Rhinolophus ferrumequinum: one gene and its partner. The protein of the gene in region 1 interacts with the protein of each later gene in a biochemical or structural test. Links are inferred from orthologs where the notes say so. Each region holds a gene or a part of one and is shown in the gene's direction. Other genes may lie near its edges.

Region 1 (11,504 bases):
CTGCTTCCCCATTGGATAGCAAATTCCTATGTGGCAGGAAACATGTCTTCTTGCTCCCGTTTCCTTGTACCTAACACAGATCCTGCCCAGGACTGTAACCGGGGCCTGGAGTTGGACAGAAAGCCACCCAGGATGCGGCAGAGCCCACCGAGCCCAGACTCCTCCAGAGAAGCCTTGCCAAGGAAGGCGTGAGGCTCCTGCCCACCTCAGCACCACAGAACCCTAATTGTTCCACACGGTACCCAGTGACAGGAAAGAGCCGCTGTGATGCTCTACGGGCAGAATTTGATCATTGTGAACCTTGAGCCAGCGGTATCTCTGGGATGGGCCCAAGAAGAAAGCCCCATGCCAGGGGCAGTGCGAGCCATGGAGGGAGGACCTGGAGGAAGATTCTAGAATGGCAGCAGGGCTGTGGAGCCTCATGAGGAGCACTGAGGATTTGTTCTAGTGCTGGAGGAGGGGAGAAACACAGAGGTGTCTGAAGACAGCACCCATGAAGACCTGACCTGGGCTGTCCGCGTGGTGGCCGGGGGCCATTGGAGGCCTTTGTGGGGACAGAGTTAGACCAGTCTGGAAGTTGGAGGCTCGCCGCTGTTTGGGTCAGGAGAGCAGAGGCTACACCAAAACGCCAGGAGGCCGGCTCCATGCCCCTTGCACCCAGGAGCTTGGCGCCTGCAGCACCAGTGCCGGTTTCTGAATCCGTCTCATCCTCCTTTCCAAACCATGCTCACTGAAATCACAATTTGTTTTTTATGGGCCTGGCCTATAATATGCACTAAATAAATGTTTATTAAATGGGTGAAGTCACTTCATAGAATTTAGGTTGCACATGACTAGAGGCTGTTTCGCTCCCTTGAGGAACACCTAATACCTCCAAGAGGACTGGCATATTGCAGGGGCTCAGCCATCGTGTATTTAACACCATTCGTGATATCCTTGTAAGTAATTACCGTTATTATGGCTGCAAGAGGACAGCTCTTCCTCCCAAGGTCACACCACCTTAGCGGATAGATGGAGTAGGTGAGCTACATCTTTCTACTTCCAAGCAGTTGGCGTTCCTGGGCTGCGGTGCCCCCGCTGGAGAAGAGCTGAACTGCGCTGGGCCCAAGGAGATACCTGAGCTGTCCCAGGGCTGAGATCTAAGGGCTGCTGCCGGCTGAGCCACGACCAAGGGCTTTGGATGGAGGCCCTGAGGGTCGGAGGTGAGATGGCAGCACCGTCCTTGCTAGCACCCACGCAGGCCGCGGTCCGAAACAAGAACCCAGGTAGCACTTTGCACATATGAACTCTCCAACTGTTAGTGACTGAAGGAGCAGGTGTGGGGTCAGAGCTGAAGCGAGGGGATCAGTATGGTAGGAGGGATGGCCTGGGAGGCTGAGAGTGGAGAAGAATGTCGCGCCCCAGGACTGAGCCATGGGAGGCACAGGCATTCGAGGGCCGACGGAGAAATCAGAGCGGTAGATGGCAAACCAGGAAGAGCACAGTCACAGAAACTCGAAAGGAAAGTGTTCCATGCAGGAGGTCCTCGGGGAGGAGGCTGAGGACCGGCAAAGTCTGATGAACTGCGCGGAAAGAAGGAGAAGGTACGGTGTTTGACAGCCAGTGCTCCACTGGCGTGGTTCAAATCTCTACCGGCCATTTCATGGGCTATGAGTGACTTACGCTGAGCAAGAGACTTACCTCGTAGGGCTTCAGCTTCCTTATTAATAAGTGGGTGATACCTACTTATAGGGCCCATAAAAATGCCTTGCCCAGGACCCCAAAACAAGGAAAGCAGCCAATAAATGCTACGATTGTTCTGTTGGTGGCAGTGTTGTTATTGCAACTGGTGACCTTTAAGAAGAAAATATCAGGTCAGTGGGGAGAAGGGGTGGGGAGGGGAAGAAGATGGGAACCAGACCGCAGGAAGTTGAGAGGAGCCAAAGAACAGGTGGGTCACTTTGCTGAGGCATTTAGTGGTGCAAGAAGTTGCGAGTCCAGAGACTGGGTGTCAGGAGGGCTAGCAGTTTCCTTAGGAGAGACAGGCAAGTGAATGCAGACAAGCCAAAGGGAGATGGAGAAACTGAAGTTATCAGAGAGAGGGTGAAAGCCAGGAGCAGCTCCCGGGAGGAGGCAGGGATGGCCCCCAAGAGGAGGAGGGGAGCCCAGCCGTTGCCATCCCCAGTGTTCTCTGCACCCTGGTCTGTCTTTGCTCCTTTACCAGTCTCCCCACTAAGGCCAGGGCCCAGAGGTTTTTCCCTCAGCCTCTTTCAGAGAGTGTGAGAGAAAGCAGACTCGCCTAGAAATCAAGAGGCCTGAGTTCTGGCCTGACCCGGCCCATTTATACTCAGCTAAGACCCCGTCCTTCCTGAGCCCTGAGTCCTCCTCCATAACTGAGGTGGCTGGAGTGATGTTCTCGGTGATTCTGTAACCATGCCATCACACTAAGCATTATAAAACATTTCCTCTTCTAAAGGTGTTCTCCACTCTGATGAGAAAGAAGGGGGAAGCAAGTCTTTGAGCTGACGCTATCACTTCCTCCCGCAATTGGGACAATATTTCTGTTTGGCACATATTGCCAGCAGATCCAGCAATGCCATCCGTACTGGCAGATCTCGGCCGAGCCTCCTGGTGTTTTAAATAGCACATGTACTTTGCCTTGCCCTTCTGGGATGAAGCAAGAGAGAGGCAGGAGCTTTGTGCCAGGCTGAGTGTTGCTGTGGACGAGGCACTCAGTGGCTGCAAACTTCTGAATCCTCAGAAATAACAACAATTACTGTGCACACACTACACTCTCCTCCACGGCAGCAAATACATCAGCTGCTGGTTATTTTGATACCCGGGTGAAAAAGCTCTTTCGAGAAAATCTAGTACAAAAAAACATTCTTATCCTCTACTTGTCTGCACCATTCCTTCTGCCCGCTGCCCTCTCAGCTGCTTTCCATTCCTATAAATGTAACTGGTCCAGGCTTTAAAGTCCTTCTCTCAGTGACCCAGGAGAAGGAAGTGGAAGAGGCAAGAGAAGAAACGCTGACTATGGTCTCTGTGTCAAGGCCAGTCTGACCTGGAACCTACTGGAAACCAATTCAGTGTGGATGGGTGTTATCTGACAGCCGCAAATGTCTCTGACTGTTGTAGGATTCAACAAGCATTTACTGAGCACCTACTGTGTGCCAGACTCTGTGCTAGGACCTGGGGAGACTGTGATACACATGGCCGGGCCTAAAAATCCAGTCCCCATCAAAATGTGAATTCTCTGAGAACAGGTAGGTACCTCAGCCATCTCACAGCGCCTGGCAGGCACATAGTAGGCACTCATAATTAATCTTTGGAGTATTTGTTTGTTGCTTACACGTTCTTATTTACTCAAGATCCTTTAAGTTCAGGGACAGAAACAGAGCTAGACAAGGATGGAAAGGAGCTCTTATTAAACCAACATGTGCCATCAGAATATGATGAAGAATTGGGGGGGGTGGCATCTAGCCTTACATTCTGCTTACATCATTTTTACATTTCCCTCTTACACACCACATAAAACAAATAAACAAACAAACAAAACAAAACCACAAGTCCGCCAAATCCTTTTGTCCTTCTGGGTGACGCCACAAGAACACATGCAAAGGTTCTGCATGCAACTACCAAATTTGATTCTAAAATTTTCAACTTTATCCCTAACTTCTCAGGCAGCTATTTTGTAAAGGCTTAGGGCTGGTGCTTTCAAACAAGTTTATACACGACATGATTGATGAATGAATTTGCCCTATTGTATGGAAATTCCTTTGTTTAATTGACAACGATAAATGTCCTAATGGATAGCCCTGACTCTGGCGCTAAGTCTGCAGAAAAGGCCATCTATGGTGGGCCCAGCAGCTAGCACTCTCCTCCAAAGTGTGTTCATCCAACCTGTTTGTACAACTCAGAACAACTCAGAAGTGGACAAGCCCTCCCTGGGAGATGAAGAGGCCACACGAAGGCTAAAGCTGACTTCCAATTCTGGGGATTTCTTCCTACCTCATCCTTCTCACAGCAGACAGCTATGCAAAGCAGCAGGGCAAAGGTGAAAAGACCACCAAGTGGACACCTCAGGCCAATCTGTGTAAAGGGAGCTGGAAATGCCGAAGAAGGGCTTCAGCTCGCCAGTGCCTCCCCTGGGGCGCGGGGGTGGGGCAAAGGGCCACCCTTGGACTTAAAACAGGAACCCCTCCCTGTACCTCATTAAATCAGGGCGCCTGAATTGTGCTGGCATGTCTTCACCAACAAAGGGATTCAGTGCCCTCCCCTCCCGTGCCCCATCCCTTCCTCCCATGTGGCACCAGGGACAGGGTAGGGGCTCAGCAGACGGTTTACTCAGGGAAGAAGTGTAGACTGAGTTTAACACCAGGGAAAGTGGGTGTGAATTTTGAAAGACGTGTGAACCCCCAGAACATTATTATAATTAATGACGCACATTTGCTGAAAAATCTGGCTTCAGGGGTATTTCTGCTACCGTGGGGCTGAGGTGGGAAGGGCAGGCAAGCTTCCCTGTCAGCCTCTGAATCCATGGAACACAAGAAATGCTGGAGGGCCCGGCCAGCCAGGAGGTCACACCTCCCTTAAAGTCTGCAGCATGCGGATAAAGAGGAATTGGGGCAGGTCCTGGGGTGGCCAAGGAGTCTTGCTGTCTGGGTCAGTTTAGAGTCACAGATCCCTTGCAAAGCTGATAAAAGCTGCTGACCCTCTACCCAGAAAAATGCACGCAATGCACACAGATGTACAGATTTACCTACAATTTCAGGGACCCCAGGAAACTTCCAGAACTTAAGTTAAAGCCCTGAGTCCAGGTCCAGACGCCTAACGCCTCTGTCTCTGTCCCCACGCCAGACTTGCCCCTGCCCAGGGGCCTTCTAGATGGTTCTGGCTCTCAGAGCCGCAGCTCTGCCTCCTATCAGAGGAGCGCCAGCACCTGCGTCTTCCAGGGCTCCCCTGGGTGCTCGCTTCTTCAGGGGTGACAGGAAGCATCCCAGGCGAAAAGTTCCCTTGGCCTTTCTCTCTAGGCTGTGAGGGGCAGCCATGCCTAAAGCACGGGAGAGTCGTGCTGGGAGGACGGGGTGGGGACGGGGTGGGGTGGGGGGGGGTAGGGAAAGGGGACACAGATAGCGGTGCCCCAGAAAATCCCTGCCTGTGCTGGGCTCGCACAGTCCCTCCGACCTGTGTGGTTCCCTTTGACTTCTGGGGCTTTGAACCCTTCCCTGACTGGGGAGACTCAGCCCTCCTGGGAGCTGATCGCTAATCCCCAGGACCCCCGACAGCCGGGCACCTCAGTCCAGCACCAGCAGGTGTGGGCCTGGGGCGGGCCGTGCCCGGGGCAGACTGAAGTGAGGAGGAGTCCGGGAGGAGGGGCTAAGAATTCCAGAAGCCAGTGTTGAAGCCGTTCGGAGCTCCTGCACCGCAGAGTGCGCCGGGAGCCGGAGAGGAGCGCAGCGCTGGGTGAGTCCTGCAGCCTGGAGCGGAGCCCCGAGAGGGGCGCAGCGTGGGCAGGGGTGCTGGCGGGCGGGGAGGAGCTCCCGGGAGACAGTGCCTGGCTCCCAGCCTGGTAAGATCTCCGGGCACCCCCGAGGATCCCACGGGCTGAGGTGCAGTGGTGAGAGGAGTGTCCCGAGTGGGCGCAGGAGTGCGGGAGCCTTGGCAGGCGAGCCGGCGAGCAGGGGGAAGCAGCGCGCTCTCTGGTCTTGAAGTTCCCGGTCTCCCCGTGGCCCGAAGTCCCGGAGGCCACCCTGGCGCCTGCAGTAGTCCCGCGCGGTGCCAGACACTACTAGCTCGAGTGCTAGAAAGGGACAGCGCGCAAGTGAGGGAGAGCAGATGAGCGTGGAGAGAGGGATGCGCGGGCCAGAGGGTGGGCTGCACCGCGGAGGGCGAGAGCATCGCGCGCGAGGTCTGGGCTGTGCGCCTAGTCCGGAAAGTGCTACGCTGCCCCCCAGGTAAGGGGACCAGCGAGGCAGGGCACGCTGAATCTGATGCCAGGAATGGAGGCAGGGTCTTTGGGGTCTTCTCCTCATTGCTGGAGGGCTGAGAGTTCGAAATGAAGGCCCCCGGGGCTTAATGGAGGAACCTTGCACACCAAGAGACCTCCACGGATCCGGGTGGACCGAAGTCGCTGGGCTACTTGGGTCACACGCCTCACCGCCAGCTGTCTGCTGCCAGTTGTGGGAGAAGCTGGCGTGGAGGGCTGAGGTGGGCAGCGCCTTAGGTCCTGGAGGCAAAGACCCAGGGCAGAGAGGACTCAGGGGTGAGGGGACGGCACCTTTGAGCCAGCAGAAACCACAGAGGCTTTGCTCTGTTTGATTACAACTCTTCTTACTCTCTCAAAAAGAAAAAGAAAAAAAAAGAAATCCCTGAGATTCTCATGGAAGGTGTTTTCTGCTTGAACTTTCTCTTCTCTTGTGACTTGAGCGATTAAAAAAGAGCCTGCTTGCTAGGCTGGTTTTTCCAAGTTGTTCCAGGTTGGAAGTTGTAACTGTTTGAAGGATAATTTATGGGTGTTTCATGCATTAAAGTGCATTACAGCAAAGCCTTTGGGGTGCTGTGGGTATTAAGGAAAACTTCGTGCACGTTCCCAGCTGGAAACCAAAATAGTGCTCTCCTGGGTGTCTCTGCCCTGTCAATCATCTGAGGCTAGTGGAAATCCTGGAGTAAAGGCATTTGATTAATTATCCTGGCTCCATCCGCTGGGCGTACCCACTGCCAATTCCGGGCCCCTCCTCCCCCACATGCACAGCCAGTTGCATTCTGCAAACTCAGAAATGGTGGTGGAGGGCCTACCAATAACTTTTCTCCAGGGTCTTCAGACTCTTGAAGCTGTCAGTTAAGTCTGCCAGCAGGGAATATTTCTTGCGACGTGTTTACAGCTTCCTACCGAATGTCTGAAACTTTCTCCCTCTGCAGAGCCGCAGAGGAAAGTCTAGAAAGTCTGCATTAGACCTGCATGGGTCTCTTCTGTGGCATAAGTCATATATGTCAGCCTGGGCAACCCAAATGTCAATCCATGATGGGCAGTGTTCCAGAGGTTCAGAGGGCACCCAGGACTGGCGAGTGAGTGGTCTGGGGGCTGAAACCTGCCCTGCTGGCACTGACTCACAGAAGAAATCACTGTTCCTCCTACTTGGGTCATTGGAGGGCCCTGGGGCTAACTTCATGTGCTGCTAAACCTCTCCCCCTATCTCTCTCCAACATTTTTATGTAGGTGAAAAAACCGGCAGCCTTGAAGGGAAAAATGTTAGGAGTCACCACAAATGGGAAACTAAGGTCTCTGAGGCGCGGGGACACGTGTTTTGAAAGAACTGTAGGAGTGTCTCAGAGGATTTTGGAACCGGCTCTGGTGCCAGCCCTTCCCTGAGCCCAGGCCCACTAAGAGCATTTGGAAACTGGGTCCTCTCAGGGCAGTCATCCTACTATTGGTGACTTTCTGTATCCTTAGCCTTTCTCAAGGAGTGAGGGTCTCACCTTCTCCCACTGGCCACCCAGAGTACCAGAGGGAGGAGGTGCTAAAGCTTCACACTCCGCTTCTCTTATGTGGAGAAACCTGTGCCTTGGCCAGGAAGGGGGCCCCAGCTGCCGACATCAGCAGGGAGGGTAGGGCAGGGCAGGGCTGCAGCCCGAGGGAAGTTTCTCATCGTCACTGAGATTAAACGACTGAGAAAATCGCACAACTTCACTTTTAAATCAGTGCTGAGCAGACTTCTGCACATTCAAAGAGTGTCCAGTTGTAGTGGCAGCAGCTTTGGGACCACAGAGAAACTGCAAAGAACACATGGCTGCTGTTCTTCCCTGCTCTGCATGGAGCAGGGGCCAGGCCCGGGCCCCCAGGCACACATCACTGTCACACCAGGGACTAGAGGCCCAGCCATTTGTCTTCTCCCTATAAGGCCTCATAGAGACTTCGGGGTTCAGAGCAGGTGGGTCTTGGAGACCTTTGCTGGCAGCAAATACTTTCTGCTCTCAGGAGGCCGAGGAAGGCTTGCTGAAGATTCACTTAAAGTCTCTCAGCAAACAACTCATATCCCCAGAGGGTTTCTCTTTCTTTGGCCCCTCTGATCTTGCAAACCATCAGCTACACCATCAGCCCTCAGGCTTAGCCGTCCCGAGAAATCAACTCTGTGATGGACCAGTTTCACAGAACAGCATACGGGGCATCAGGCAAATACATGGAGATGGACGACCCTCCCCAACACATGCCCAGCGACCTGCTTCCTGACAGTGGGCACCCTCACTCTAAATAGCAGTAAAACCGGGATGGCCCTAAGGCAGAAATGCAGCTGGAGAAACTGAGGATTGGGGGTGACTGGCCTTTCCGTTGGGTGTACACAGGATTGTCACTGTTTGAGCCAAGGAGGAATAGCCCTTCAGACACAAAGTTTGGCCAAGACCAGATCATGAAAGCTTACAATAAAGAAGACATTCTCAGGCTTTGTGATGTTTTCATGGTTCCTCTGTGGGCTACTTGACATGTTTTTGAGGTGTCCCCAGGGACTGTTGGCCTCAGACTATGACACAGTCAGAATCAGATTGAAACGTTACGATGATCTCTTGACATTTTTCTCCAGTATTTTGGGTAAACTTCCGATGGTAGTTTCCCAAGCTCTGAGACAGGAGGGAAAGTGGCTTTGTGACCTTAAGCAAGTCACTAAACTTCTCGGGTTTAATTTTTCCTAATTTATAGGACAAGTGCATTGAATTAATAATGTTTCTTGATGGGCTACTGGCAGTTGGGGACAATTCTTGGTGAAGTATGACCTATTGACATAATGCAGGATGCTTAGTATCTCCTCCTTGCCTACTAAATGCCAGACGTCATGGTGACAACCAAACCCACCCCCCCCCCAACACCATTTTTGGCTCACTGCTTATTAAAAGGATAATACTGTTTCGCGGTGAGAACGCCCTTGGAAATCACCAGTAAGGCCCCTTCTTCCAGGCCCTCATGGGGGGTCTCTATTTAATCACTGAGTTGGGCTTCAGAAGGCCAGCCCTGGGCTTGACCTTTAAGAACCAGCATTTCCGACTCCAGGAAGTCATTGATGGGGCCTTCCGTGCTGTGGTCCCAGCAGGTGTCATGCTTTGTCTTTTGTCAATGGAGTGTGACTACAAATGACCCACCTGAAAAGGAAACCAGAATGAGTGGGGAAAGGGACAGGTGGTATTAGAGCATGGCAGCTTCCTTCTGGGCCATATGTTATTGAAAACACAGGCAGGTTGCTTGCCCCAGGTGTCCACGGCCCTGGGGGGAGATCCCTCCCTCCTATACTAAGTGGACCACACTCTGACACCAGGAGGTCCCTTCCCTGAATGAGAGGACAAGGAAGTAGAACCCTTCCCAGCACTGACAGCACTTAATACAACATGGGTACGTGTTGGTATCAAATTAATACAACTGTGCCAAGCTGTGAGAATGATGTGACACTTGATTGAAAACAAAATAGGCCAGCAATGCTAGCCTGAAGGGTTGGTGTTTGTAGTAGCAGTGGGTTTATTCTCAAGGAGAACAGCTCATGTCATCTTTACCTTTTCCCCAAGGTCTCACTGGAGGACAAAAAAGAGAACCGTTTGGTTATTCATAGTGCACAGGGCTAAAATGAGTATCTTTGGAGGCTATTACAGGAACACCCACTTGCCACTTACCCCCAGGTAGAGAGAAAATTACCGAAGCAGGAGGGCTGGTCGAGTTTGGAGTTGATTTCCGATGAGGCAGGAAAAAAAATAAATAAATAAGACCAGGAGACCTAAGGAGATCTCTCTGAGGTTGAGACGAGTCTGATAACACAGTCTGTCAGGGGGGATGAGCAAACGCTTTTTGAATGGCCCAAGAGTTTGGCCAACCTCTTTCACTTGTGGAAAACCTTTTTATTAGCAGTATTAGTCAGAGCCAGTTTGCAAGACCAGAGGAGTTTCCCTGAAAATTCACCACCAGGCTCAGCAGATGGAGATGTTTTGGCACCGCCGGTGGTGGCTTTTGCAGGTGGAGAGCCCTGCAGATGGAGGGATCTGGTCTGAAGTCGGTGGGAATGAACCGCCCAAGCTTCCCACCAAAGCCGTTCCACGTGGAGGGCCGTTACAATCCACTACTACTGAGCACTTTCCCGGGAACCACAGAGTATTTGCTATTTGGGACAGACGGGCTGATTTTCCCATTTTCTTTGACTTTTCCGTCAGTAGCCAGGGTTCGTTATGTGTCATCTGTCGGCTTGCTGCGTGCTGTTCCGGAGGGAGCCCAGGGAGGACCACCCGGGGGAAGCCGTGATGAGAGCTCAGCTCAGGTTGGGGGTGCAGGGAGGTCTTGTCTCAGCCCCTCATCGCTGTGGATCTGAGATGCAGTTACAGCGACTTGCATGTCTCTCTTGCCCCGCCTGGTGAGACGCCATCCCATGTTTGGACCTGAGGAGACCTGGCTGGGAGGTGAACACACTGGGGCACCGTCTTATCTCTGTCAATAACCTTGTAAGGAACCCCCACGGTGTGTGGGAGATGCCAAGAGAGGCAGGCCCGCTTGGCACTGTGATTTTGAAGGGAGGGACAGTCATGCTGGGCTCCAGCTGCCTGAAGGATGCTGAACTAGGTAAGCAGAGAGGAAGGAGATGCAGGAGGACATCTCCTGTACCCGTTCTTCCGTAAAACAGAGAGAACAGTAGTATCTCCTCTGCTGGGCTATTGTACACAGTAGGTGGTATGATGTCGGGCGAACACCAGCATAGGCCAGCACACAGTAGGCACCTCACAGACATGATGAGTTCCTTTCCCTCATGTTCTCCCCCAGTGGGACTGATCTGAGAGGGTCCTCTCTTCATGCTTTCCCACTTCAGATCAGACAATATCATCTCTCTTTTTTTTATGTCTATATTTCGACCTTCTGTAATTAACATTCTCATGTCGATAGACTTTTAACCAGTCTCTTCCTCTTCTGAATTTTCTTTGCCTCATCATATCCTGGTAAAAAGAGAGTCGTGGAGATCCGCCTATAATTTTCTTTCAGAGGCAAACGTCTCCTCAGACTTTTATTTTAGAAATGTTATGCAATGCTCTCTAAATAAGGCATTTCGTGAGAATGGCCACTTGTACTGGCAGCTTTCAGAGTGTTTTGGTCCCTCACCCCACGTAACAACTCCTCCTCCTCCAACAATTGGTGTCTTTAGCATTTTTTGTATCTGATCAAGTTTACAAGAGAAGGAGGCTGTGAATTTTTCTATGGTAGCAGGGCGCCCAGAGGATCCGGCGCTGAACAGCTGTGGCTGAATTGAATATGACCTGTGGTTAAAGTGGGGACAGTCCCCACGCCACTGGCTACCAGGCCACTGAACTGATTTTCCTTCTCCCAATTAACATCTTTATTAATATGCTAACTAGGGGACTGAGTACTGTGGGAGAATCATTATAAACATAAATCATGATCCTGCCCAAGGAGCTTGCTCAAGCGCCACGATGAAAATGGCTTTAGAGGCTTATCCGATAATGCGCATGAGATAAGGCCATGACCTGGGGGGGGTCTGTGGTAAACT
Region 2 (11,699 bases), on another chromosome or scaffold:
GAGAAGAGACTGCAGCTTAGGGACTGTGTCCCCCTCTTCAGAGTAGGGAGACTTCCAGGGTGAGGGCTCTGTCTCCCCCCTCGGATTGGAGTTTCCCCCAGGGCAGGGCTATCTCTTCTCTCTCCTCAGAGGGGGTCATTCAGTTGGCAAGTGAAGTAGATGTGACTGAGAAAGCTGGTTCAGAAATGGCTGGCCACCCAGGCCTCTGTTCTTAAATAATCAGCCCTGTTTCAGGGTTCGAGGCCCAGCAGACCTAACCTTGGAAAGGGATTCGCAAGTGACGCACTTTCTGAGCCCTCCCCCTTTCTGAGCCCCTCTTGGGGGTCTTCTCTTGACTGGGAGACTTAACAGACTGTGCATCCATGCCCTTTACCCTCCCCTGCTGGAAACCAACCCAGACAATTGCACTTGACCCCACATCCCAGACGAGCCAGAGTGAAGATAAGCTGAGGCCTGGGATGTCTCCTCCCCCAGCGATTCCCGTGGGAATTGTGCTGAGCCCAAGGACTGTCACAGCTCTGGCTCTTATCTGCAGCAGGAAGGCTGGGAGCCTGGGTCTCCAGTGCTGAAATGTCATCTCACCCCTCATCCGGTCTCCAGCCTGCAGGCCAGAAGCCACCAACACCAGCAGCAGCAAATAGAACAAGAGTAATTGACATCTCTCCAGCTCTCTTGATTTGCAAAGCACACTCACTCAATACCTCTCTGACCCCTGGAAGTAACTCTGAGACTGGTATCTTATGCCCATTTTATGAAGGAAGAAACTGAGCAGGGAAAAGGACTGGCCCAAGGGCACACAACAAATAAACGGTCTGGCACCCACATCTTAGGATGCCTCATCGCACTTATCTTCCCACCTGAGGACCTCACACTGCTCCAGCCTCAGTGTAGCCCTACTCAGTTTTTCTTTAAATTGTCTTGTTCGTACTTGAACACAGTATAAAAAGTGAGAGAGAAGACTAAATCCTCCAGAACTGCAGGGCAGCTCTGTGATCCTGCTGGGCTGGGAAAGATCAAGTTGAGAGTCAGGAGGAATTTCCTAGAGGAAGGCTACTTGAGGGGAATGTGTGCTGCACAGATGAGGCCAGAGGCCGGGGAGGGTGGCCCCTTGAGTCAGCAAAGGAAGACGGCTGCCCCGAGTTAGGGAGTATGCCGAATCTCTCCCCTTCCTCCTTACACAAAGACTGGAACTCTCTCTCCAGTGAAGCGCGTGGGTATAGTATTGCCCTCTCTGGGCAACCCTTCTCCAAGACACAAAGTCTGGGGAAATTAAGTCCCTACCACCTATGTAACAAATTGACCAGATCTTATGATTTCTTGACAAGAGGTATGGGTACAGAATGGGGCACAGGTAGGAGGGAGGCTGGCCTTTCAAAGTAGAGAAAGACTGCAAATGGGAAGATGGAAGGCTTTGACCAATTCTACTGTTACGTCGAAGGAAGAGAGAAGACAACTCTCAGGGGGACGTAACCCACAGAAGGGCTCGGAGGAGAGAAGGCTGATGAATGTGGGTTAGACAGGCCCCTTGCAGGACAGGGTGGAGGCAGGAAGGGAGCATGGGCCTTAGGCTGGAGCAGACGGCGGGGGAGGGCATGGTGGAACTGGCCCACTTTGATGCTCCAGTTAATCTAACTGGACTCCAAACTTGACTAAGTCCTGCCACCCCTCTCACTATTAACGCAGCTCCAGAATCAAACTGAGCTGACCCCAAACCCGTCCCCAAGTCCCACGCTGCTCCCTCATTGGTCAAGCCCCCCTTGCAGCCCAGAAGGAGTCAGCTCCAAGGTAATCACTGCATCACGCTTCAAAGCCACCGAGCCAACTCCTAATGGGGGGCAGCGGGTTTCACTTACCTTGCCTGGCTGCCTGCCCAGGGCAGATGGGATGCAGCTGGGGGAGGCCTGGCACCTCCTCCTCCCCTCCGCCCCCTGAGAAATTGTTGTCTCCTTGCCCATCTCCCTTCACCCCTTCTCTGGTTGGACATTGGAACTGGGGGTAGGGGAGGTGATTCTCCCAAAGCAAGAAAAGCGAGCGCTCACCAAGAGAGCTTGAAAATCACACCTTCTATCAAAAGGCCTCCCCCACCCTCCCTAGGCCTCCAAGCCCAGATTCTGTGATGCGTGTCAGGAGGGGCATCTGAGTGGTAGCACGGAGGGCAGCCCCCCTGACATGCAGCTTCTGTCTCCCCAACTCACTGGGATGAGGCTGGAGGGGCTGGGATGAAAGGAGGAGCAACAGGACATCGGAGTTACTGAGCAGAAGTATGGCTGCTGAGGGCCTGTGCAGTACAGTGGCTACTTACGGTACCACTGCTTCCTGGGGTCCTTGGACAAGTGGCTTAACAGCCTCAGTCTCTTCATCTGTGAAATGGTGCTCCCAGCACCTCCTTCATGGAAGTGGGGGGTTAAAGAAGATAACTGTGTGGATTTCCAGCCCATAGGACGTCTCAGTAAATGTGAGTTCTCATTGTCTGCTCTCGCATTTCTGCTCAGAAGTGGGTTGGGGCTGCAGGCTGCTTCCCCAGGGACTGCTGGAGACAGGCCCGGGGAGCTGTGAGCAATGTTCTGCAGAGGGCCTGAGGTGAGGGGTCCTGACGGAATAGGAAGACAGGGAGAGTGTGTCAGGAGCTTGCCTTCCTGGTGACAGAAGGGTCAGGAGATGAACAGGGGAGGGGCAAACCCATTTCAACTCCTGAAGATTAAGTTTGACTCACCACTCCCACACACAGCTTCACGGAGAATTGCAATGATTTTCTCCACCCTTTCACCTTAAGGGCCCTATTTAGGTCCAGGAAGCCCTGGTGTGTGTGTGGTTGGGGGAAGGGCCCTTTGTATGTGCAGCTCTGTCATGGGAGATGGTTCTGGGGGACCCTCCCATGAAAACAGCTACCCCCTTGATGCTCCCTGTCTGATCCCACTTGCCGGTCAGCTCCTAAGAGCCCTCTCCCATGTCTCATCCCACAGCAGTGGCCGCAAGTGCTAAGGATTAGGGGGAAGAGGGCTGGGTCAGGGAGACATTTTTGAAGGACGCTCATGTTTGGGGCCAGGACTCACAACCAACCATTAGAGAGTTAGGGTCGGTAAGCAGTGGCTTCCTAAGGCCTCTGATATGGTTCTAAAGAAAAGGGTGGGACCTAAGTATCCAGCCTGCATTAGGAGCAGGAATACCTGCTGTTTGTGGTGGTGCAGATGAAGGAAGGGGGGTGGCGGTGGTGGCTAGGGCCCCGGCAGTCATGGGGATGGTGGGGATGGTGGTGAAAATGGTATGGCAGTCATGGTAGTGATGGGAAGATTGTGGGAGGGAGTCACGGCAGTGGTAGCTGCGGTGGTTTTGGTAGTGACGCTGGTGTTATCATGATGGTGGTCACAGCGGTGCTGCTTTTGGTATAGGTGGCTGAGATGGTGACAGTGGTGCTGATGGCGGTCATGCGGGCAGCCACCAGCGAAGGAACATCCTGATCTCAGCTGTTATCTATGGTACGGAGAAGCCAACGTGCCACCTGATAAAAGAATCCTTCACAGCAAATTCCTAATACCCTAGAACACCAGCTCCATGAGGGCAGCTACCATTGTTTACTGCTGTATCCCCAGTGCCTAGAACAGTGTGGCATGTAGCAGGTGCTCAATAAATGTGTGTTGAATAAGTAAAAGGGGATGGGGAGTCTCTCCTTGTGATGAGCACTGTTACCTCATTTGTCCTTCACTCTGCCCATTCAAGACAGGATCTTTTTGAAAATTCCCATTTTACAGTAGAGGAAATTGAGGCTGAGAGAGATGACGTAACCATACAGGACTAAGCCACTTTGGGGGTGGGTGGGCGGTGTCGGCGTTGATAGCCAGGTCTGTCTGACTCTCAGTTCGGTGCTCTTTCCTCTACGCACTTGGCAGAGCCACTGTCCCCGCCAGCACTCAGCATTACATCGTGGGCCTGTACGTGGGCTTAATCACAGAAATGTTGGTAATAATAGTAAGTTTGTAATTGTTCACGTAAGGCTTAAATGATCAAGACCATGGAAATTATTAATAACCCAGGCCCAGCCATGGTAGTGTGAGTCATATTAAATCGTGTTGAGGTGGATAACCTTGGCAATAATAGTAACCAGGATCATAAATTAATAACAGGAGTATTTAAACGAATGCCACACTGTGGATACCCGTGGTAGTAAGCAGCTCGATGCTGCCGTTAGTACTAATGTTGCCCCTTCCTGTCTTCTAGGAATTCAGCTGAGAGGAAAGGCAGGGCCATAAAAGCAGCGGGAGACAGCTCAAAGGCTGGCCCCTGTCGGCAGGACGGAGTCCTCAGGGACTTCTGAAGAGGGCCTGGCCGCCTGGCCTCTTATGCCCAGCCATCAAAGTGGTGGCTCCTCCACATTCATGCTCAAGGCCACAATGGTGTCTACCTGTCCTTTCTGGGGCTGTCCCCTGGACTTTGTTAGTTGCATAGGAAAGAAATTCACAGGGCAAATTTCCCCCATATAAATGAATGAATGATTTAGCTTCAGCTGATCTAGGAAAACACCTACCAACTGCTAGCATGCCCTCTTCACAAGTGTACTGATCTCTCCTTCTTCCTATAATGTGGGAGGAGAGTGCTATTTTTTTCAAAGTGGAAACTGAGGTCCACACATGGCCAAGGTCAGAGTGCAGGACAGGCTTTGTGGCCGTGCCCCACAGCTCTGTGCTCCAGGGTTCATGTCTGGGAACCAGGAAAGGGTAGGAACAGGCAGGGGTGTGCATCAAGGTGGGGGGTGACGGTGCTTCCCACAAAAGACTGCTTTTACAATCCCTGGGAGTGCAAGCCTATGCTTTGGACCTGCCAATTTTTGTAGGGCTTAGTGAGTGTGGGATGCCTACACAGAACGTGGATGGGTACGTGGATATAAGTCCATCTAACCACTTTTCCATTTATTCCCTTCTAAAGACCTTTATTGAACACCTACTGTGTACCAGGCATTCAGATAAGAAAGCATAGTACCTTTCTGCCGGGTGGATGTGTCATTAGCTAATGGACACACTCACAATCTAGTGAATATACTAGGTGTATACTGTTGATACACCTGAGTGTTTGTGTATGGGTGTAAGAGTGTTTGTGTGCTCACGAATGTGTGTGTGCACTTGTGCAAGAGAATGTACATGTGAAGGTTTGTGTGGCGGTGACTGTACATGTACACGTGCATGTGTAGGTGAGCATGTGTTTGAGCATTATGACACGTGTGACAAGTGTGCATGTGTGCTTGAGTGTGGAGGTGCATACGCCTGTGTAGAATGTGCAGGTCTACATGAGAGTGGTGCGGGCATATGTGGTGCGTAAATACATATATATGTCAGCTTGAGGGTGTGTTTTCCTGTGTTTTGTGTGAACACTTATGACCCTTTCAAACCCATCTTTTGAGAATTCAAATGATGTCGGGATGGAATCCACCTTGAATGTCCCCGCTGCACACCGCCAGGGTCAGGCCACCTGCTCCTCCTTTCCGTCCCTCCGTCTAGGCCTTTGCACTGGGAAGGGGCAAGGATAGGGGTAGGGTATGCACCAGGAGATGGAGGGCGGGGCGGGCAGTGGGCATTCTTGCTGATAAAGGCTGGGTAGGGAGCAGGGCACCAGGGAAGAAGCTGAATGAAGCCTGAGGCAGAGGAAGATGGGTAAGAGGGTGAATCCTGCGGGTGGGCGAAGCCGGAGGGGAACGGGGCTGCCGTGGTCCGGAGCGCACAGCATCCCGGACCCACGCGCCCTAGCGCAGGCCGGCCTCTGGGTACTGGGGCGAGGCGGGGGAGAGGCTATCAAGGCCAGGGCGCCGAGAAGAGGCAGCGGGGCGCGCGGGCGCGGCTCCGCGAACGCCCTCCCTCCCCCTCCACTACCCTCCCGGAGGCGGCAGGGCGGGCGGGCGCGGTTCCGGGGGTGGGCGGGGAGGAGGCGGGGCCGCCGCACTGGCTTCTCTCACCCCTCCCGCCCGCAGCCAGAGGGAGCGGAGCTTCGGCCAGCTCCGGGGGGCGGGCGCTGGAGCGCAGCGCAGCCCTATCTGTCCGCGGAGCGGACTAACTGGAAGCCGGGCGCTGCCGCGGGAGGCGGACGATGGGGGCAGGTGCCGCCGGATGCGCCATGGACCCGCTGCGCCTGCTGCTGCTTTTGCTGCTCCTGGGGGTGAGTGCTAGCCCGAGGGGAGTCCGCTCCTTCTGACAGGACCCGAACCCCGATGAGTTCAGGTTTCCCCGAGGGAAAACATAACAGAGCGTTGGGGTCCCAGACGCTGGGGATGGATGGCGGGAGAGGAGCTCCGATGCCAGGATCCACGGAGGAGCGTCCAGGGTTGTCAAGGCCAGAGGCGACCCAGAGATCCAGGGTAGGGATGTGGGCAAGAGGGGCGCACGGATGCGGGCACTCGGGTACCGCGGAGGTGTGTGTGGAGGAGCCGGGAGGGGTCTCTGAGGTGGGGGCCCCGGGGCTCTCGGATGCTTGGGTTCTATGGAGAGGACGCGTGAATGCCAGGATCTCGAGGCGACTTTCTCTGAGCATCTTGATTTCTGGAGGGTCGTGGGACGGAACCCAGGCTAGAGAAGAAGGAGGAATGAGATGGGGACTAGAGATGTGAGGGGCGAGCGGGGCTGGGGTGGGGAACCAGAGACGAAGGGACGGAACAATAGGGAAGGAGGCTGGAGCGACAGAGGGAAGCGGGCATCGGACACTGAAGACCTGACCAGACAATGGGGGGAGGGGCGTGGGAGGGAGAGCTTCGGGCGTGGGGGCTCTGTTGAAGAGAGAGAAGTGGATTAGGGAGAGCAGAAAAGGGACGACGGCGAGGGAGGCAGAGAGATGGAAGTAAACTGAAAGAGGACGGAGAAGGGAGAGTGGATCCGAAGGTGGTCGGGGCCCCACGGGTCCGCCGAGGGACCGCGGGACCAGAAGCGAGCGCAGAGGCACGGACGCTTCCCGCGCCTGTCGCGCGCTCTTTCCCGCGGCTTCGCCCAGTCCGGGAATTGCGGCTGGGAATCAGAGGCTGGGAAAGGAGCGCCCACTTCGCCGGGGCGAACCCTCTTCCCCGGTTCTCCTACAACCCGCGGGCTGCCCCGACGCGCTTCTTCTCGCGATTTGAAGCAGCGCGGCGGACCGGAAGGGATGGAGCTAGCGTCGTCAGATCGCATCTGGCCGCCGCCAAGTCTGGGGATGCAGGACGCGCCAGGCGGGGAATATCGGGGCAGCGCGCAGCTCTGGGCGGCGCAGGCGGCCCGCAGGGGGCGCTGCGGTGCGAGAGTTGTGCCCTCTGCAGCGGCGGGAGTCACTGGGGGTGTGTGCCGGTCCCCCATTAAGTTAAGTGACCCGAACGCCACGCTCGCGGTTCGCTCCGCTCCAGCGCTCCGGCAGGTCGGGATTCCGCCTGTGCCCCGCCCAGCTTTCGGATGAAGACGCTGAGCACCGAACCAGACAGAGGCGCTCAGACGCCTCGGACTGCGTCTCGGCAAAGGACTGCGGGTCCCCTTAAGCATCTAAGTCGGCCGTGTAGTTCTGACAAAATATTCAGGGTATGTGACCTGGTGTGTAGCCATGAACAGAGTTTCTTTGTAAGGTTTGGCAATGGAGGAGGTGTCCTCACTCTGCCTGCCATCTTCATCTCTCATCTGAGCATAGCGCCCCAGATCCCCGTTTTACAGATAAGGAGACTGAGGCTTTGAGAGTTTAAACAACTTGGCCAAGATCCCACAAGCAACCAGAGTCCTAGCTAGACTGCCCCTCACCTGATTCCCAGCTACCAGCTCCCCGCACCACTTAAGGGGGCAACCTGGGTTCCAGGTCGGATTAAGAGCTGCGTTTGTCGACGGGGTGGGCTTGACACGACCCCCAGAGTCAGGCCGGGTGGGCAGAGACCCTCTTCGGGCCCTGTCCCCTCCCCAAAGCTCAGCCCAGGTTCCCTGGAGCTGTCAGTACCTGTGGCTTTGTCTGGGCATTTGAGAGTGATTGCGGGCACGTTTGCTGACTAACGCCGCGGGGTAGAGATGCTCCTGGGTCGGCGGCGGGGGGTGCGGGGAGGTGGGACTGGGGCAGCCAGTAGTGCGGATCCCGGAGGGGCGAGGGGGTGGGCTCCGGACCCGGGTTGGAGAGAGTGTTCCCAGAGTGGAAAGAGGCGAGGAAGGAGGAGAGCTGGGCGTGGAGGGGCTGGGGAAGGTGGACGCGGCGCAGAATCTGCCGCCTGCAGCCCCTGCGGCTCTCGCCTCCGCCTCACCGCTGCTCTCTACGGGCTGGCTCTGCGCACCGCGGCGCTTCGAGTTCTTCCTGGGCCGCGGCGAGAGAGTGCTGAAACCAGAGCGCGTCCCGGCGGGTCGGCTGGCGGGCCGCGCCGGTAATGGAGGCACTTTGTCATTCAGACGTCTGTAACCGGAGCCTCGGGGATGGCTAATGCGCCTAATAGGGATGCAGCGAGGGCAGCAAATGGGAGGACGCGAGCGGCCGGGCGGGGGAGACGGCTTCGGGAGCGAAGGGGTCTCCACCCGTGTACCAGCCCAGTCCCACTCACGCGCCCAGATTCTTCTCTGGGGCTACCGGGTGGGAAGGCGGAATAATAAAATTGGTTGAGTGCCTACTGTGTGCCACGCACTGCCCTGAGTAATTTCTCTTCGGTTATTTAATCCTTAAAAGGTCCCAGCAGAGAAAATCTAGTTATTCACATTTTACAGTTGAAGGAGCTGAACCTCTCAGACTTTCAAGCACGAAACTAGGCTCTCCCAGTTAGTAAGTGGTGGTGTCCTGGGAATCCAGGATGCTTGGCTTGGAGCTTACCCCTTCCTCCGTATGCAGCCACTACTCCACCCCCTTCTAAATCGCGGAGGGACATGTGGCCCTGAACCACCACTAGCCCCAGAGATTAGATCAGTGTCCTATGCCCTTGACACCACAAAATTGGAACTGAGCCCCTTCCCCCAATGCAGTCCCTGCCCCCCTCTCAAAGCCTCGCTTCAGCCTCAGTAATTACCTCATGTCTCCTATCCCACACTCAACCCCACCCTAAGGGGGTGGAGGGCATGTGCCAGTGCCTCCCCTGGCTTTACATGGGCCTCAAAACACCCTCCACATATTTGAAAACGACCAATGGTGGTCATTTATGGCTCCATTCACCTAAGGAGCCCTTTGCTAAAGCTGGGGTGCATGGTTAGGGTTCATCACACTGAAGCATTCAAATAGTTTAACATTCTTCCAACTATTTTGGTGTGTTTTCTATTTTGTCCAGTTTTAATTTTTTAAAAAAAGATTCTTAAGTCAATTCACTTACAGGTACTTCCACCTTAGTTTTTTGAAAGCCTTGAAATGGCAAAAATAAAAAGATTGCAAACATTCTCAAAAATGGGACGAAATTGTTCCATCAAACTGGAAATAAGTGTAATTAATAAATGTATATTTCAGGCACTTGGCATCTGTCATTTTGGTAAATTGATCCTTTTGGAGCAATTAGCCTGGATCCTGGTCATCCTTCTCGGCTTCCCAAGATTGCCCCCGCTTGACCCAACACAGGGTGTGGCAGTGGCCATGCATCAGCCCATTTAGCAAAGTGACCTCTGTGGGTCTCAGTTTCCCCAGCTGTCAGGGGATGAAGACAATTCCTCAAGTTTTTCTCCCTCAGTATCATGGCTTCTGGAGTAACTGTTTGGGGTGACATTTCCTCTCACTCATGGGACTGTGACTCCCCACAGAGGTCAGGGACCATGTCTCATTGGAAACTCTTGTTTCAATGCTCAGTAAATAATTGTTGAATTCATTAACTTTAAGGAGAGCAATTACCCATCCTCCTTTGGTCCCCATGCCCTCTTCAGACTCCCTGGTGGCTAAGTCTTTCCTCATATCTATTCTGCCCCTTGTCTCTTAGGTGCTTTCCTCTTTTTGGGGCTGGCTAAGCTCTCCCCTCCCACTACCTCCCCCCCATGGTCAGCAGCTCACTCTCCCTAAGACAAGATACTTCTTTGATACTTAACATTTATTGAACTCCTACTGTACACCAGACAGATTTGTATAAATTATTTCATTTAATTTTCACAGCAACCCTGAGCAGTAGATACTACCAACAGTATAGCTCACACTTTTGACTCAGAAAGTTGCCCCCTCCTGGCTCAGAATCTACTTACACTCATTTTATACACCTTCCTACCAAGGCTAGTTACATACCGTGTTTCCCCGAAAATAAGACCTAGGCGGACAATCAGCTCTAATGTGTCTTTTGGAGCAAAAATTAATATAAGACCTGGTGTTATTTTACTATAATATAAAACCACGTCTTTAATATAATATAATATAATATAATATAATATAACACAAGGTCTTATGTTAATTTTTGCTCCAAAAGAGGCATTAGAGCTGATTCTCCGGCTAGGTCTTATTTTCGGGGAAACACGTTAGTTTCTAAAGATTCAATTAGACCTAATAAATTAGAATGGAGGGGCCACTGAGGTCACACTGGTAGCAGCAAGAATTGACAACTGTTATCTTGACAGGAATGGAGGAGGCAGAAAAAGTATTTTAAAAAGTTGACAGGAGAAGTCAGAGACGAAAGTGTGGTAATTTGGCGAAAAGAACACAAGGGCTTCACTGAATTGCAGCTCAGAATAATTGCTGGTGTAAATATTGAGTTCCTGAGTCATGAGGAAACCATGAAGATATGTTCCAGAGTCAGAGAACGGTGCAGCCACCATGGCTAAAATGGAAACCATTAGGTGATTAGAGCTGCCGAGCCTTGACTTTCGGGAAATTCGGCTATCCAGAAGTCATTCCTGGAGTTCCAATTAATTGAGGTCATATCATATTTTCATAATTCCACAAGCACACACGTTGGGTCCCTACTACGTGCCAGGTACTGTGTCAGTCCTGCCCTCAGGGAGCTGATAGTCCAGTGGGGACTCTGTAAAGTGTCAGATCAGACAAAAATAGTCAAAAGGGAGAACATGTAACAGGACAGCTCCACTTGATCTGGGAAGGGATAGGGACACAGGCCCATTTCCTTAAGGAAGTGATATTTAAGCAGAGCTCTACAGGATGAAAAGAAATCCGAACAGACTCTTCTGGAATCTCGCTAGCTAGCCTCCTGGGGGAAAGCCTGTATTTGGGACTCCACCCATCCCCAAAGCTTCTGGTTTGCAGATGTTCCCGGTTGTGTTCCTGCCACCTGGGAGGAGAGAGTAGTGGCACCCAATGTCCCCCTCCTATGCTACCTACACCTTCCCTGCTGGTCTCCTGAGGACCACAGGCTGCCTCCTAGACTGAGCCAATCTGTCCGGCCCCTGCCTCCACTGAAGCCTGGTGAGATCTCAGGATATCTTAAAAGACCGGAGGGAAGGGAGTGTTGTTGGCCACAGTCTGGTCAATGTGGAAGCAGAGGAATGTCCAAAATGACCATTAAAACTCCCCTCTGCTCCCATGACCTGAGAGCCCATACTTCCTTTTGGCATCAAATGGGAACTGCATGGTCTGGGGCCAGGGAAAGAGTCTTGGGAGTTTTATTAGACCTGCAGTTTGTGGTGGGTTTTTTTTTGCTTTTTTTTTTTTTTTAGGGAACAGAAATATAAAGCAAGCTGCCAGCAGCCCCTCCCTCTAGGGAATCTGGTGCTAAATCGTTCCATCCATGAGCAAAGATGCTTTGGCGGCAGGAATCTGACTCCCCTTTCCCCTAGATCCAGCGCCATTCCACTGAATGCATGGGGGGCAGGGAGGGGAGAAGGCTGGTG

Evidence for each region.
Region 2: the proteins of NGF (region 1) and NGFR form a complex in vitro, tested with the Homo sapiens proteins (2 studies listed by BioGRID and IntAct, with this or other methods). The link is inferred for Rhinolophus ferrumequinum from reciprocal best matches to the Homo sapiens genes NGF and NGFR.

What each region holds. Positions count from the first base shown.
Region 1 is NC_046305.1:45,831,709-45,843,212, reverse strand, and holds the start of NGF (beta-nerve growth factor), read left to right. Parts: upstream 1-5,387; 5' UTR 5,388-5,445; intron 5,446-11,504. UniProt on the Homo sapiens protein: Nerve growth factor is important for the development and maintenance of the sympathetic and sensory nervous systems.
Region 2 is NC_046304.1:33,857,479-33,869,177, reverse strand, and holds the start of NGFR (tumor necrosis factor receptor superfamily member 16), read left to right. Parts: upstream 1-5,956; 5' UTR 5,957-6,072; coding exon 6,073-6,141; intron 6,142-11,699. UniProt on the Homo sapiens protein: Low affinity receptor which can bind to NGF, BDNF, NTF3, and NTF4. Forms a heterodimeric receptor with SORCS2 that binds the precursor forms of NGF, BDNF and NTF3 with high affinity, and has much lower affinity for mature NGF and BDNF.